Caenorhabditis elegans: one gene and its partners. The protein of the gene in region 3 interacts with the protein of the main gene of each other region in a pairwise test. Each region holds a gene or a part of one and is shown on either strand. Other genes may lie near its edges. The genes, in order: cyd-1, cdt-2 and cki-1.

Region 1 (7,295 bases), 5.2 Mb from region 3:
GTGTTCTGGCTTGTAAGAAAAACTTTCTCCAGGCTGTCCCATCACGTTTTGATCTACAAAAATGCGGGAATTTTTAACCCAGAAAAATGTGACGTCATCACGCTCTTAGCCATGCAAATCCAGTTCAGAAGTCTACGTCTAAATTCCCGCAATTACGTAGATCAAACCGACATGGGACACACTGACGCCACGTGTTTCTCCAGTTCTAGACAAGTTCCAGATGAAAACTAAGCGGTTTTCCGATTTTCAAGCACAATTTGGAGATTTTAGATAACTTTGCTTTTTGTCTATTATTACAGAAATTGCCGATTTGCTGGAAAAAATTCAATTTCGTCACAAGAAACAAATTTTTTTGCACTGTTTTATAAAAAAAGGGGCCCGTCCACCTGCTTCACATATCTCTGATCTTCTACTAGCGCAAGCTCAACGTCATCAACAGATGCTAATAATGTATGTTGCGCTTATGGTCAAGATTTGAATAAGTGCTCGCTTCACGAGCTTGCAGTTTGACGCAACTCTAGAAGTGGGGGTCTGTGTGACGTCACAACCTCGAAGGGTCAAACAACGTCATATGGTGATTCCGGGTAAATAGTGAAATATATGTTTGGTGGTTGTGGGGAATCTTTATTATTTCACAAATAGAAAAAAGTAATCATCGAAACAGCGAGAATTTTTGTACAATACAAGTAATTTCAATGGTCATCAGAATTGGGTGTAGGAAGCGAATTGAGCAAGAGGGATCTGGAAAAAAGATGAAAGAAGCAAGTGGGAATTCTAGTATAGAAATGATTAATTTTTGGGAGGAGGCTTGGGCAGGATTTGACTAATCACAAACGAAGTCGTGGATGTGACAAGAACCAGGAAGCAGTTGGAATTTCATAGGAAAATCCAACAAAAGGTTCGAGCACATCCGAACTCTCGGAGAGGGGGAGGGAGGTGGAAATAACTTAGAATAAATGTTTTAATATATATATATATTATTTTTTTCAGAATAATAAGAATAATAAACTGGAAGATTTGTTGGGAACACCGGTTTAAAAATTAAAGTTTAGGAAATAATGCAAAAGCTACATAGAAAATGGAAGACTGGATGTGTTTTGAGATTTTTTGGGATTTGGTTTCGAATCGACATAGAAGCTAAACAATGCATAAAATAATGGGTAACAAATGTTCATAAAGTCTTGAAGATCTTCGGCGGCGTCGAGTCCTCCTCAAACCAGTCTGTGCTCCGACGACGCTTCTTCTCTGAGGATGCGGGGCTGGAGACATCAGACGAGAAGCCCGAGTCGTTGAGGGGAGTTGATGGAGTTTGCTCGGAGAGGGGGATCGGCTCGAGGAGCACAAGCTTCTGGAAGGCAGGTTCCTCTGGTGGTGGAGTTGGGAGGGGTTCTTCCTTGAGCTCCTTGAGCTCTTGGAAGGCCTCTGGCTCTTGAGTGGAGGCCGGCGCGGATGGTGTCGGTTCCGTCTTCTCAGCATCTTCTGATGTGTAGATTGGCGTTGTGCTCATGCAACGCTGCACCATCGGGATGTACGAGTCGAGAAGGTTCTGGAAAAGGTTTAGATAAGAAATTATAAGTGCTGATTTTTTTTTCACTAACCACTTCCAACTGGAACATGTTTGCCAAGAGATCCTTGATCTTTACTGCCAGCTCCTTATTCTGTGTTGGGAGATTCGATACGTAGTAGAGGCCAATTGCACATTGCATGGATGGGAATAAGGTGGCAAGTTTGTGCACTGAAAAACCAATATTCATATTATTGATTTTATCATTAAAATTCCAAAATTCCAAAATTTAAGTTCAATCTTTTCTCCCCCCTTGGCCCATTCATCACTGTTCCCTCTGCCAATCATTCGCTCGCTCGCGCCTCAAGGTTTCGATTTCAATCATTAAGAAAAATCGAAGAGGGTGGCTGTGGAGGACATAGATGATTATCTACGAACAAGTCTCTAAGTGTCTGGGCGTCTGAAACATCAGTGGAACTCTCTCTGCCTCAAAGTGCGCGTTTTCACACCTTCATACATATCTTCCAGGGGTCTGACGCGCCAAAAATTTTGAAATTGAAACGGGCTGGCTGCCGAGAGAGAGAGAGAGGTAAAACGCTTATCTTGTGCTAACATAAACTTTGCCTACTGTAGAGGAAGGTCGTCGTGCTATTTTCATGTAATTTCACACTCCTTTTTCAAAACCGACTCTCCAAACCGCTTGTGACATCACACGTTCTTCACAATGCCTTGCGTCAAAAAAATCACCAGAAGCCCATTCAAACATGCGCAATTAGGCTATGCTCCTTTTAAGCCTCGAGCACCTGTTGACAGTATGTGTAGGATCGCGCGGTCATGTTGCATAATTGAATAGACCGCCCGAAATGACAGCTGGTAGACGATGATGATGATGGTGATGATGTAAAGATATTTGAAAATCTGGGAAGCATCTCATCCTCCTCAATGAGGATGGCACACGCTTCCGTAATCCCAATAAAAAAGTAATCGACCGCGAATGAATTTATATATCGGTCAAACGGATGTCCAACGATTGATGACTCCTTCTTCAGCTGCTCCTTTTCAAATTCCACTACGGGGGCACTGTCAATCAATTAGGCCTTGGCTGATGAAACATTCATTATTATACGATGATCTCCATTCAAATTTCAAATTCAAATGTCATCAGTTGCCCCAGAGAGATGACCCTTCCCATACTGTCATAACATTAATGTAGATGATATACATCCCTTGTCATCGGTGGTGTCTTGGAAGAGCAGATTGCGACATAACTTTTCTTTGTGTGTGAGGGCCGCGCAACAACAGGCACAACATCACGGGGGCTCGTCATCGTAAATCAAGAAGCGCAGATTTCACTCCTTTTCACCCCCATACATACATACCTACAAACACACACACACGGTATTCTTTCATAATCTAGCCCAAATCTTCCAAATGTATAAATCAACGGGTAGGCACGCGCCAGGTGGACACAACTTTCCTAATCCGTTTGGATAACTGAACATCCATTAAGGCAGAAGGATATGGGGGGGGGGGGGGGGGGGGCAAACACTGCGAGATGATCGATCAGAGCATTCCATCACGCTATCAAGTTGCCAAAGGCGATGCCGATCGGAAGTTTTGTTCAAATAAACATTGGGCAATAGGTACAAGGGCATTTTGAAAAAGGTATTGCCTACTGTAGAGCCTATTCTTTGAAGTCACTTCAACCGCCGGGATTAAAGCGACATGTGTTTAAGGGGAGTCGCCTTCTAATTGTTTCGGGTGTCAAGTGATCCGCAACAGTTAAACGGTTTCCCTAAGAGCCCACTAATTTCACCCCCCAAGCCATGCCGCCCGGGAGATAGCTATCTATAATTGAACCCGGGCCACCTGGGCTGTCATGTCACTATTTACAGCCATATTCTTCTAATTCAGATATTCACCCAGATGTTCTTAAGAGTAATTGCAAAATTGTACTACCCCACACACACACACGCGCACACACACAGTCATTTTTTAGCGTCTCAGTGTGTCACCACAGAGGAGGACGGCTTGAGAACAAAGAGGACGCACAAAATTTTGTGTACCTGGTACTGACTCACTTACTTTTTGGTATCTTATATCTGTAGTTGGGGGGTGGGAAGCCTTAACAAAGGCGCTAAAACCTAGGTCAGCGCGTGTCAAATGACCAATGAGCCGTACGCAAAAACTAACAACTAACAACTTTTGGACTGTTTGCATAGGCTAATTCCGAAATTTTCCTCAATTCAATTCGGTCTAAGATGAACTTTTTTCGATAGGTAGGACACTTTCCCTTGGGGAGATAGGACTTAAGCTCATTAGACAAAGACTGGCCCACTAGCCCACCTGCTGTGCTGGAAAGAAGAAACTTGTTTGTTTGATTTGGCTTAGGTGGAGGTGGATTAGGCTAAATTAGGCTGGTAATGATGAATCAATATGGAAAGTGCAAAAAAAACAGGCTTCTTCCTTCTTTTCTAGAAGCTATTTTTCTCCCCTCATCCCGGCCAAAAATATCCTAGTAAATCTCATTTTTCTTGTCCCTTCCACCACATTATGTAAATGCAACGGTGTCGCTCGCCCGACCCTACCGCACAGTCCTACGACCACCCATCAAAAAAACTTGTCTCTGTTTCCTTTTTTCGCCCCGGGAACCCTGTATGGGTGGCCCACCGCCGGCAATAAGTACAAAAGAATGGGGGACACGCGACGCACACACACACAACATCATCCAAAAAACGACTTCGATTTTATAGAGATTAGACGGGAGAAAGAACACCCTTCCGATTGAAAAATGACACGCGCCAGGGCACCAGGGGGGGGGGGGGGGAGTGAAAGGAACAAAAAAAAAACTACTGGACTAGGTGGAATGAAAGAAATGAAAACTCACTTTTTTGGCACTTCTGCACAACTGTCTGAAAGTCGCCCCTCATGTTGTGAATCTGTGGGATTCTTGAGGCGAGAAAGTCGAAGAAGGAGAACGCCGTCGGCGACTCGGTCTCCCATTGAAGTGTCGTCACAATGAGCAGCTCCCACTGAAGAATCATATCGATGGGGCAACTGTTATCCGAGTAGTAGGCGATCTTCGACGCGGTCATCGGATGTGGGGCCTTCAGTTTACTGGCGATAAACAGCGCGACTCCGGCGATCATCTGAACGGGTCTGATTTCATAAATGTTGATATGATGGGAGGAGAGGCAGGAGGATTAGTTTATGTACTTCTAACACTAGAGGTGAAATTCCAAACATACTCAATATACTCACCTGAATATCATGCTTCAAAATATTCTGCACCGACATAAACCTATCGATCAGCGAAACAGCCAACAAGAAGACGTCGCCATCACAATTCTCCTCCTTTGCCACGTCGTAAATCCAATCGATCGCCTGCTCTCGATGAAACGGCGTGATGTTCTCCTGAACGCCGGTGAAGTAGTGATAGTTGGGCTGTAGCGCCTCCTCGTACTCCATACAGTTATAGAAGGCTCGCATGTCGAGTTGAATATGAGGATCCGTACGGTTATAAATCAGTGTTCGGACATTATCGTTCAGAGCAGCCGATCGAGATGGGTGTAATTGACAGCTCACATTTGACTGGAAAATTGAAAATTGTATTTTAAAATTGTACTTTAAAATTTAAAATTGAAAATCAATAATTATGTACATACATGTTGAATAGATGAAGTGGTCGAGATTTTCGAAAAGAAGATTCTTATCTTTTTTCACTTGGAGGAAAATTAGAAATTAAGCGTGAGGGAGAGAAAAAGAGTGGGCGACGAAAAAGGTGTCAAAATTTTGCCGAAAAAAATCTACCAAAAAAAAATAGAGAAGGACAAGTCTCCTACTGCGACACACACACAACTTAAACACCAGAAAAAAAAATGTTACCTCGGTAATAGATGTTTCCGACAAAACTGCTGAAACTTGAGGAAGCATCGATAATGTGCATGGCTCCTCTGCGTAAGATGTGCTCGGACCAGCCGACGACGACTCAAAGTCCATCTGGAAATGGAACTTCAGGAATTTATTATTAATGCTTATTATTAAATCTCAAAAAGTTAGTGAATTTGAGAAAATTGTCAAGTGGAGAGAGAAAGCAAGAAAAAAAAGTAAGTCAAGGTACGGCACCTTGACTCGCAATGACAGTCGAGTGACCGGAGGCGGGTGACTGCCAGGGACTCCGCCCAGTTTTTGCGCACCCTCTCCCCCACCTCCCCCCAGGGCCAGCCGTCTCCCCCAGGCACATGAAGGAATGAAGGTGATGATGATGAAGACGGGGGGTTTTGGGATTTTTGAGAATGAAGAAAAATACTTCTGCGCTGATGTTGCTGACTGAACGACGACGAGCTGGCAGATGACCCAAAGACAGCGGGATACTGGGTCAGCAGTCGGCAAATTGCAATATTGGGAAGAGGTTGGCGGGGGTCATAAGGTGTTAAAATATTGATTGGTGCACAGTTATGGACCACGAAAAAAAAACAAACTGCGGATCGATAATTACGTCCTTGACAAAGAAAGGTGTCAAAATCACTACACTCTTCCGGTTTGGCAAAGTTCCAAGGTTAACGGGAGACACGGAGGGTACTAGCAGCTTTTCCTGTCTAGACAGGTAAAGGGTGTCAATAAGGCAAAAAAAAATAAAAACGTTCAGAATGATTAACATTTTTGGGTAATATGTTTAAAAAAAAAGTGTTAAAACTAATTGAAATTTAAAAATCAATAAAATTTTGATAGTTATCTAAATAGGCTTCTAACTTTCCAAAAATCAACAAAAATCAAATTTTGAAAAACAGAGAAAATTACGCATCTTCTAGCCTTTCCAAGTATACAGCAGAAACTTCAAGTTTTGTGATATGCTCTAAAATCACCTAAAATACTTTGAGCATTTTGGATTTTTTCTTATGATGCTCTTTTACTAGAAAAGTATTTAGAAATGACGTTAGTTATCGTCAGTGTTAAAATACCCTTTATAATTTTTTTACAGTTAAAAAGTGGGTTTTCACAGTTTTTTGACAGGCTTTAATTTTTTGTATTCATATATTATAGGGATGAAAACTTGTAGAAATGCTCGAAATTACTGAAAAAGTCCATATATATTTGGTTTTTTTTTGCCAAAATTTAGACTGAAAATTTTGAAAAATCTTAAAATAAATCCAGACTGTTTTATCATATATTAGGTAGTTTTAGACTACCAAAACTATATTAAGGGCCAAATCTCCTTTAAAGTGTCCAAAAATCTATGTGAAATTCGGGCCTTTTCTAAACATCTACGCTACACCTGAAAGCGCCTATTAATGTTAATATATAGGATTTTTTCTTACGGGGGCTCTTTTACTGGAAAAATAATAAGAAATTATGTTATTTATTGTCAAGGCTAAAATGTCTTTTGTAATTTTTTTTACAGTCAAAAAGTGATTTTTTGACCTACTATAATTTTGAAGTTCGTCTTGGACTGAAATTTTTGACATTTTCTAAACATCTACGCTACCCTTCAAATTCAAAAATTTGTCTCCCATGGCAGCATATATATATATTTTTTTGTATCTTTATTTCTCCCCCACCACCTTTAAAAAGTTCATCCAAACACTAAACCACACACACGACATTTGGCCTATTGTTTTGGGAGCCACCCATTGAACACAGTGGTGGGTTCCCAAACTCATAAATTGTACCGGACAAGCAACAAATCAGACGGAGCAGGGAACGGGGAGAGGTGGATATGGAAGGTTAACACTCAAGTAATCTTAGAAAAGTAGAAAAAGTGAAAGTTGAGAAAATTATGGTAGTAAAAGAG
Region 2 (6,054 bases), on a different chromosome or scaffold from region 3:
TAAACTCTGGAGATGGCCTTTGTAAGTTCCCGACGATACGATTATTCTGGTAAACTTTATATTTCAGATCCTGCCGCTGGAGCATCAGATGATTGGGCAAAGTCTCGTGGAATCAAGTACTCCTACACCATCGAGCTCTCTCCAATTGATGATTTGTAAGTTATCCGGACTATTTTCTTTTTATTTTCACCCACTTTTCAATTTCCAGCACTGGATTCTCCCTCCCAGAAGATCGGATCAATCAAGTGTGCCGAGAAGCATTCCAGGCTATTCAAGTTCTCATGATCGAGGTCAAGTCCAAGTTCGGATTCAAACAAATGACGTCATCAACTGCATCATCTGCTCAATCGACACTATTACTGAATCGCTTACGGACAATCGGAAATCGTGGATTTGGTCGTGGGAGGTAGAAGTCAAACGGAGTAGCAGGAAGAAGAGAGGAACGGGTTTTTAAAAATGACATTTTCAGTTGTTTTGTTTTAATTGTTTCTAACAAAGGGTTAAAAATAAAAATTTTAATTTACTTTTACAGATTTTCACTATTTTACCGACGATGATTAGGCTTCGGGGATAAAAACGAAAAAAAAGGAACGTATTTACAGTTTAGAACTGATGAAAATGGGGAAGGGGAGTGAAAATACTTATGACATAGCAACATGGGTTGGGAAAGAGATAAAACAATTAATTCTACACACAATTTCTACTTTTTGAAGTAGTGTAACAGATTACGACTTGTCGGTCGTTTATCCATCGGTTTTCGTGGAGTCATTGGGATGGGCTTAGGCTTTGAATTTGATGGGCACGGAGATTGGGTTGAAGATGATTTGAGAACAAGTTTACGCGGAGAGTGAAGAGCGATCCGTTCGTCTTCGGTTATAACTTTTGAGCATGCTGATTCACCGAATTCACTGACACTTGGGAGTCTGAAACTTATAATATTGAATATTTATGACAAATTTTAATAATTTTTTCACCTCGCCCTTGTCACTGTTGCCACATTTTCTCCCTTGGTTTGCCACCAGTCTTCGATTCTCTTCTGTCCAGTCTTGCTCAACGATTTTCCGGAATCTTCAATATCAGATTTTGAAGATTCTCCTATGAGTTTTTTGACGAATGTATCGTAGACAAAGTTTGGCAGACCCTCAGTTGGATGCTCGTTGTAAAATGGATTATTCTTCTTCTTTTTGTTACGGATTTGTCGGGGAGTACGGTAGCCGACAAGATCCTGGTTATTTGAATTAGTTGGTTGAAGTGGTGATGGTGGGGAGAAAGATAATCTGAAATAATTTTTTTAGATGCTTACGAAAAGTGTATACTTAAAATCGAAAAGGTGCAAGAGCGCTCCACGGCGAACTGAAAACGCTCCGCCCCAAAATGTTGGGTCTCGTTGGGAATTGACGGCAAAATCCGCCGATCTCAAGGTTTTTTTTTTGATTTTTAAAATATTTTTCGTTGCAAGCGTTTAATAATTTTTTGCCGAAATTGAAAAGATATAGTAAAATGAAAAAACCTTAAACAACGAAAATTGTAGTTTTTTTAAGACGAAAATGGTTGAAAATTGGCGAAACGAACTGAAAACGTTTGGAATTACAGTTATGCCGCCAAACACCTAACGAGACCCAGCTTGTAGGGGCGGAGCGTTTTCAATTGGCCGTGGAGCACGCTTCCACGTCGATTGCATTTTTCTGATAAATATTCCTTACTTGCTCATCTTGGCTCTCGGAGATCTATTCAATCTGAGAGGTTTTGGACTATTTGTGCAAATTGATTTTAACGGGCTTTCAAATATAGGTCTTTTCGATCCTCGATTCTTCTGTGGTGATCCACTTAGTCCGGAAGAATCAGCTCGCTGTCTGGGTGATAAGGAAATACTATCGAAACACGACATAGCTTCATCAGATTCTTTTAGCTCAAATTTCTTGATTTTTTCGTATGAAAGTCCGAGCTCCTGGGAAGTAGTCGGGTAAGAGGTATCATCTTCGTCATTCAACTTCCATGTACATCTATTCCTAGGCTCTGACCAGATTCGGACGCCTCCTTCATCACAAGACATGAAATATGTTCCACGAGAACTCCATCCGACGTTCAACACTTGCTTAAGATGACCATCGCAGGAAAATCGCGGAAGTTTCGTTCTCCGCTTGTCAATATCATCCGGAAGTTTTCGATCATTCATGTAGTTGTATTGATCCTGAAGATCCCAAACAACAGCCCGACTATCCTCACTTCCACATGCGATCACATCAGAAACCGGAGAGCAGGCGACTTGGGTATAAAAGTTGTGAATGGTGGCGCCAGTGTAGGAATTAACTGAAAGTTCAAGGTTTTTTGTGTATTGATCGAGAACATGTGTCGGCAACGTGGTTGAAGCACAAGACATGGAATGCCACAAAGTAATGCTTTTATTTGTTTGTGACTTTCTCAATTGATGAGATACCAGAAATTCTACAAAATTGGCTAGTATGGCATGTTCTTCTAGTATTTTTCATTAAATTTAGTGCTAAAATATGGCAAAAAAAATTTGAATTTTCTGATATTAGCTATAATTTTAGTCGAAAAAAATTGAAAAGTGCTCAAAACTTGTCTTGAAAATTACCGGAAAATTCGGCAAACGGCGATTTTTGAGCACTTTTTCAATTGTCCCAGCTAAAAAATAAGCTACTTTCATATGAATCAAATGATTTTTTATACTCTATCACTAAATTTTAATGAAAAAATTTGTAGATTTGCCGCGGCTAAAAAATAAATCTGATTTTCTCTTCTGAGATTTCTACCCAAATTCGATAAACCTTACTCGGTGAAACAGACTCCGATGGAACGGAGTACTCGAAAATTGAAGAATCGGTGCATGACGCAAACAGTCGATTACCAAAACGATCTAATGTCAGACAAGTCACCCCATACGATTTTTTGTTGGATGTGGGAACTTTTAGAATTCTGGCTGGCTGGCCTTCTCCGTTTCTTGTCGGTTTTCGAATATCCCAGACTCGTATTCCACTATCTGCATTTTCTGAAGCACTTGCCACGTGATGCTCATCAAGAAAAAGAACACTTGTCACTTTATAACCTTCTATCGTTTTCGCTTTTGCTTTTGATTTAGGAGTTCCTGATGTTAATACTTTTGATGGTTTTGGATGTGCAGTCTTGTATGTGATAGTTGCCATTCGACAATCTTCTTCCATCTTCTTCACTGTGGATACTCGCATATCCCAGATTTTGACTTGGAAATCACGTCCACCGGTCACAAAAACGTCTGGAATTAAATTTTTATCACGAAAAATTTTTTAAAATATCAAAAACACTTACTAGGATCATCCGGAGCGAAACAGATCGACCGTACAGATCCTTCGTGTCCAAAAAACACTTGGGACTTTCGATCCAACGTAGATTGATTTAAATCCCAACATCGAATAGTAGAATCTCCAGATATTGAAACAATTTGCGATTCCTTTTGGGGAACACCTACAACGTCCATAATTGCACCATCGTGAGCGGGAAAAACTGAAATCTTTTTGATTTTTAAATTCCTCAATCAAGGTATGCTCAGATCACAATAAAGTTGCCGTTCTTCCAAAGGCACTGATCGATCTTGAAACTTGCGAACATCGAAAATTCCTATATTTCCCGGATCATCTCCCATGTACAAAATGTGCTCTTGATTCAAGTGAGGCGAAAACCTGGCTGTTACCCAAGTGTCCTGAAATACTATTTTTATGAAATTATCAGCGTATTCCTCAGCAAAATCTTACGTGATCATCGGTTTCTCCGGCCGGCATAGAATAATGTTTTGATTCTAATTCTTCATATATTGATGATGGATATCGAAGATATCTTTTTCTAGCTTTTGTTGAATGGAGAAAATCCATATTTTATCTGAAAAAAGTGAAATTTAGTTGAGAAAATGATAAAATGGTAGAAAATACTATAAAATGGTAGAAAAAAGAAACCTTTCGAATTCACATTTTTCGCGGATCTTACGACACTCCACTATTGCGCCCGCGTGTTGTTTATCGTAAATCGACACACCTTTTACATATTCTTTCTTTGTGTATGTCTTCGTTTTTCTCTTTAAAATCTGCTGTAAAGCATTGTTTTATTTTATTAATTATGTTAATTTTCAGAAAACTAAAAAAAAAGAAAAATGAACGACGACCTGATCATGCGTAAGAAGCCAGAGCAGATCGAAATGGAATTTCAAGACAGTGGAGAGTCGGCGCTTGTAAAAGTGAGTAAATTCGTAAAATTCGGTGGCATAATTCCAATAAATTTAGAGTACATTACTCAGCAGTCTGCAAAATAGTGAATGGGAGATCGCTGTGAGGAAAGAAGTGAAGAAGTTCTTGGAGGTCAGTTTCGTTCAAACATAATCGCTTAATTCTCATTTTTCAGAAAGCCAGAGATGACGTGAGTGCCAAGGAGGTTTTCGATGCTGTCAAGGATATGGCGAGAAGGGAAATTCCACAAGAAGCAAAGAAGAAGCTCTACGATCAAGTTCTCGAATTCGTCACAACTACTAACAAGAAATGATTCGCTTTTACGAGGAAAGAAATCAACTGTGATCTCATTATATTTTGTAAAATTTCTTCAATAAAAAATTGAACGCAACATGATTCTCATCGGTGTAAATTCCAATAACAGAACGGAGAATTTGAGGAAAAACATGACATGAAATGTTTATTGTTTCTTTTTTGTAAACGAAATCTAAATAAAATAGGTTAAAGGTGCAAAAAAAGGTTAGAGGTGCAAGTATAATACTATTTACAAATTCTCGATAAAACAATGTACATAAGAGTATTCACAATACAATAAGTGAGTCTTCAATGTAGAAATGGGAGCAGTTATTTCATGATGAATCGATTGCAAGGGCGATCCTCGAGACGACGACTCTTCCCAAATCCAAAAATGCGCACACGGTCAAAAGGGCATGTTGCGCTGTAGCAACCCGCCATCTTGACAATCTGATTGATGCAGAAGTCGCACAGAGTATGTCCACAGTCTGAAAATTTGATAGAATTATTGGACTGAAATTGATAAGAGTTCAGCTTAATAATCTATAATCAAGCAAGCATTTAAATCCGTTTATTTACTCACCCATGACACGTGGAATTCTTGTGTTCTCGTCAAACTTCTGGTAGCAGACGAGGCACTCGGAATATGTAGCGAGTCGGGTCTCGCAGTCCAGAAGCTTCTTCTTCAGAACAGCCTGCTCTTTCACAGATTCATGTGTGATGCGATTGAGCTTGAACGTAAGGCGCATCACAGACACCTTCGACTTGTTCGATTCTTCTTGCAATAATCGATGAGCCTCACGACTGGCTTCAAGACTTGCCGTCTCCTTCTTCAACTTCTCATCTTTGGCCTTGAGTTCGGCTGAAGTTTTGGCCAACTTTCTCTCCGTCTCATCTAGTCTTCGTTGAAGAATTCCATCCGTCCTGCTCGACATATTTGACTGAATGCTTCCTCTGACAGACAGGCGCTGGGAATTTTTCAATGCTTGAAGATTGTTCCGCTGATCCTTAATTTCTGCTTCCATCATGCGCATCATGCCAAAAAGTGAGGTCAACTTCGCAATTGCTTCCTCGAAAGTCGATACAAGCGTGGAAGGTGGAGAGCCACTAGACGACATCTTACCTGAAAATTAGAATGAAAAGTAAAAAATCAAAACGCAGATTTGAAGATACTCGGAAAATGGAAACCATATATTTTTTCTGTGCATATATGCACAGAAAAAATAGAAAAATCGAGTGAAACAATTTCTGAAAAAGGCTGTAAACTCCAAAAAAACCAGAAATGCGCCGAAAACACTCAGAAACGCTCAAGAAACTGGAACGCATAAAAATGAAAATCCAAGTTTTGCCGCCAGCCGCAATGGGTCAAGATCAAGATCAAAACACACTTTTTGTTTTTTTTTCTCGTAGTCCTTGTTTTTTCATTGATTTGTGTTCTTTTTGATGTAAAACTGTATTTAAATCATAAAATTAATGTGAAAGAAGTAAAATATCAAGAGAAAAATTGCGAAATAAAATAATGAATGGTTACCGTATCAGCGGGGTA
Region 3 (3,250 bases):
CCCTCCCGTTCCCTCTTCAAAATGTCTACTCGGAGATTGAATGCAAACCGCAATAAAAAGTCCGTTCCAAGGTCTTCTCGTGGGGAACTGTCTTTCTGGGTTGAATAGCACATAAAATATAAGAAAAGGGAGGAGGACGATGTTGATAATGTACTCTCAGAAAAAGTTATGCAATAAAAATGATTTATGGGACTAGAGAAGGTCCATTGATATGATGACTTGGTGTTATGTAATTAGTAATCAAACATGCTTATTTATTATTAGCATATACTCATAAACGTTCCATATTACTCAATTTGAATTAGAGAAGCCTAATCCGGCTGGTAGCTACCTAAAATTCACGCAATCTTCACGCAATGTCTATTTGGGTGGCAGTGGGTGAACCGGGAAAGATTTATTTGATCTTACAACATTTACAGAATGTTTGAAGTTTGAAGTTAATGAAGAATGTTAGAAGTTTCAAAATTATGCGCGGAATTGTACCACTTTTCGTGATTTCAGTATATTCTTTGCTGAAGTTACCAATGGAACTGCACCGTGTGCCAGTTTCTATTCGTCTTTTTTTTTATAAGTTGAAGAAAACACCAGAATACAGTTCTTAAAATAATTTCAAAGGGTTTATTTTTCTTTGAGTTGTTTAAAACAAATGGCAATGGGAAAAAAGAGTTACAGAGTTCCTAAACATGGATCACAGGGCTTTTGGAACAAACAATAAAACATTTGTGGAAACATGACTAGTTGAACAATTAAGAGAGACTCAGAAACTGTCGAGGAGATAATCAAATGATTAGATTCAACCCGTGGAATTGGGCAAAAAAAAGTCAAAATGAAACCTCTAGTATGGAGAGCATGAAGATCGAGTTCTGATCGTTGGACGACGAGATTTTGGAGTGAAGATCACATTCACCGGAGACAGCTTGTTTGGAGACAACGAATTCTTCTTACGGGAAACTGCCATGAAGTCGGTCATCTTCTGCTGACGCTTTGTTGGGGTCTTCCGTGGAGTTGGTGGCTCTCTGAATTGCCACTTCTTCGGTTCCTCTTCATCTTCGAACGAGCTGTTGGGATCCATCAGCGAGGGCTCCTCCTTATCAGATGTGCTCGGAGAGCTCAATGGAGTCAAAGTCGTTGAGCTGATGTCCAGCGATGAGCATGTGGTTCTGACAGTGAGAACTTTGGTTCTGAAAAATGAAACTGTTTAGTAAAATAACTATGAAAAATTTATAAAATTCAATTACCTGTAGAACTCCGGAACACAATTCTCTGGAATAACTTCATAAACGAATCCAGCAGAGCTTGGGAGGGGAGTCTCCAGTTCAAAGTCGAATCCCCATTTCTGGCTTTCTTCCTGGCGCATGCGCTTAACAGCATCTTCAAGCCAAATTCGAGTCCTGGAGCGTTGCTCGGGCGTCGGACGACCGAAAAGGCAACGACGAGCAGAAGACATTTGAAAAGAGTGAGGAAACCTGGAATAATAATAGTTTACATAAGAATGCATATCAAAATCGCAGTAAGAAGAAGAAGATGAAGTAAAATCATAAGTAAAATTGTAAAAGATGTGACGATGCTCTCAAGCGAGACGCCCTCCCGTCAGGAACACACATACATTTGAATATATATCCATCGAGGGAATAGCGGAAAAGAGGGGAGATACACGCCTTCCACGAGAAGGGGTGGAGTCATATGCGCGGAGGCAAAGAGGGTGTAATAGAGGGGTACTGAGGTGGTGGCCCGGTCATCAAAGTGCCCGAGGTCAGCAGTCGGAGAAGAAGGGGAACGGACCAAACAAATATTCAATGCGCAACGACTGGTGGCACCGACTCGGACCACGAATGAACGGAGGGGGATCAGATTTCTTTTGGAATGCCGTACTTTTTTGTGCGGAACCGAAGTGGTCAGATGAGAAGCATAAACATTTCGGAAAGTTCTTAGTGACGAGAGATATCTGATTATAGAGACGCAGAGAGAAAAATTAGTGCTCCGTGATTATGAGGAAACAGATGACAGATTGCACTTTTGATGAGGGCACTCAGTCAGAGATCTAGACAGTGAGAAGCTTTCGTATTGAAATGCTCAGAACTATCAAGATTATGGTTTACGAGATGTATTAGAAAGGTGAAAGGTTTTGACTAGTGAAGTATGGAAAAATGTATTTTTTTCTAGAAGAGAAATTATAAACAAATTGGCTTGCTCATGTCTGTCTCACTCCTTCTGTCCACTACAATATGTGTCATTTTTGTAACAAAAACATTTCCCATCCGGTTCTTCTTTCTACTCTTTACTAAAGAGGCACCTTCGTGCTGGATGGTGGTACGACTATGACTAATTGGATAAATAAATAGAATACCGTTGTGTTGGATGGGAGGAATGTATATCAATAAGATGACTAGTCTAAGGTGTATAGTTGGATGGGTAACATGATAGGAAGAAGAAGCAGTGATAACAACAATAACAGCCGGAAAGCAATACGGTACATTTGGTGACAGTGAGGAGCTCTGTTCAAATAGGCGGTCTCGAGTACTAGATAGTTGACCCTACGATTGGTCAACAAATAATATATGTGAAAGAAGACTGTGTGTTGTTACTTGTGATTAGGAAAAGGAACAGACAGAGAGACGACTAAGTGACCGACATTTTTCAAAGAAAGTAAAAACACAGGTGGGTTCTATGATTCACACCAGTTCTGTCTAAGCTCTTTGAGCTCAACTCAATTTAAAGAATAGTTATGGAAATGAGGCCTAGTTTTAGTTAGATACCATACATTACAAAAAAGAGCCAATTTTTAAAAAAGAAAGAAATTATGAACTATCGTAATACTTTAGAAAAGTTTTAAATCCTAAAATAATTCAGAAAAAGTCTTGGCAATTTGTCATTAAGAACTACCAACCGGCTGCTCGATCTCAACTCTCAACGTTTTGCACCGAGAAACGAGCATCTGTCCGGCTGGTAGATAGGATATGTGTGCGCAGAAGGGATTGTAACGAAGAGTGGTGTGGTTAGCTGAAGGAAAAGAGCCAGATGTTCGAAACGTTGAGCCTCGACCAGCATAACAAATTATGTAGCACGTAATTATGAAACCATTCACGGTATAAGATGAAGCTCAACCAGAACGGTAATGAGAAAAATAAGAGAGAGGAAATTAGCTTTCCGTGGGAAAAGCTTAGACACATTAGGAAGATGTTAATGTCATTAAGGATTAGAGGTGAAGCCGGAATAAATTAACAGGTTAAAATGAAAAATGAGACCACCC

What was found.
Region 1: the proteins of cki-1 (region 3) and cyd-1 interact in a two-hybrid assay, tested with the Caenorhabditis elegans proteins (one study listed by BioGRID).
Region 2: the proteins of cki-1 (region 3) and cdt-2 interact in a two-hybrid assay, tested with the Caenorhabditis elegans proteins (one study listed by BioGRID).

The regions. Positions count from the first base shown.
Region 1 is NC_003280.10:12,986,431-12,993,725, reverse strand, and holds cyd-1 (G1/S-specific cyclin-D), read right to left. Parts: upstream 5,504-7,295; coding exon 5,390-5,503; intron 5,096-5,389; coding exon 4,766-5,095; intron 4,654-4,765; coding exon 4,392-4,653; intron 4,261-4,391; exon of another isoform or gene 4,077-4,260; intron 1,736-4,076; coding exon 1,599-1,735; intron 1,547-1,598; coding exon 1,172-1,546; 3' UTR 609-1,171; downstream 1-608. UniProt on the Caenorhabditis elegans protein: In association with cdk-4, regulates the progression through the G1 phase of the cell cycle during postembryonic development. Regulates proliferation of the coelomocyte lineage and intestinal cells during late embryogenesis.
Region 2 is NC_003283.11:14,987,047-14,993,100, forward strand, and holds cdt-2 (WD_REPEATS_REGION domain-containing protein), read right to left. Parts: upstream 4,081-6,054; 5' UTR 3,948-4,080; intron 3,874-3,947; 5' UTR 3,867-3,873; coding exon 3,750-3,866; intron 3,698-3,749; coding exon 3,553-3,697; intron 3,502-3,552; coding exon 3,307-3,501; intron 3,254-3,306; coding exon 2,795-3,253; intron 2,311-2,794; coding exon 1,704-2,310; intron 1,278-1,703; coding exon 975-1,277; intron 924-974; coding exon 701-923; 3' UTR 501-700; downstream 1-500. Other genes in the region: F02D8.4 (Peptidase M14 domain-containing protein), read left to right, coding at 1-21, 68-155, 209-410; T01C3.2 (Transcription and mRNA export factor ENY2), read left to right, coding at 4,142-4,225, 4,272-4,346, 4,390-4,527; T01C3.3 (RING-type domain-containing protein), read right to left, coding at 4,839-4,996, 5,092-5,626.
Region 3 is NC_003280.10:7,809,456-7,812,705, reverse strand, and holds cki-1 (Cyclin-dependent kinase inhibitor 1), read right to left. Parts: upstream 1,467-3,250; 5' UTR 1,448-1,466; coding exon 1,239-1,447; intron 1,182-1,238; coding exon 836-1,181; 3' UTR 601-835; downstream 1-600. UniProt on the Caenorhabditis elegans protein: Negative cell-cycle regulator that functions at the G1-to-S-phase transition. Required for suspension of the cell cycle in dauer larvae and starved L1 larvae.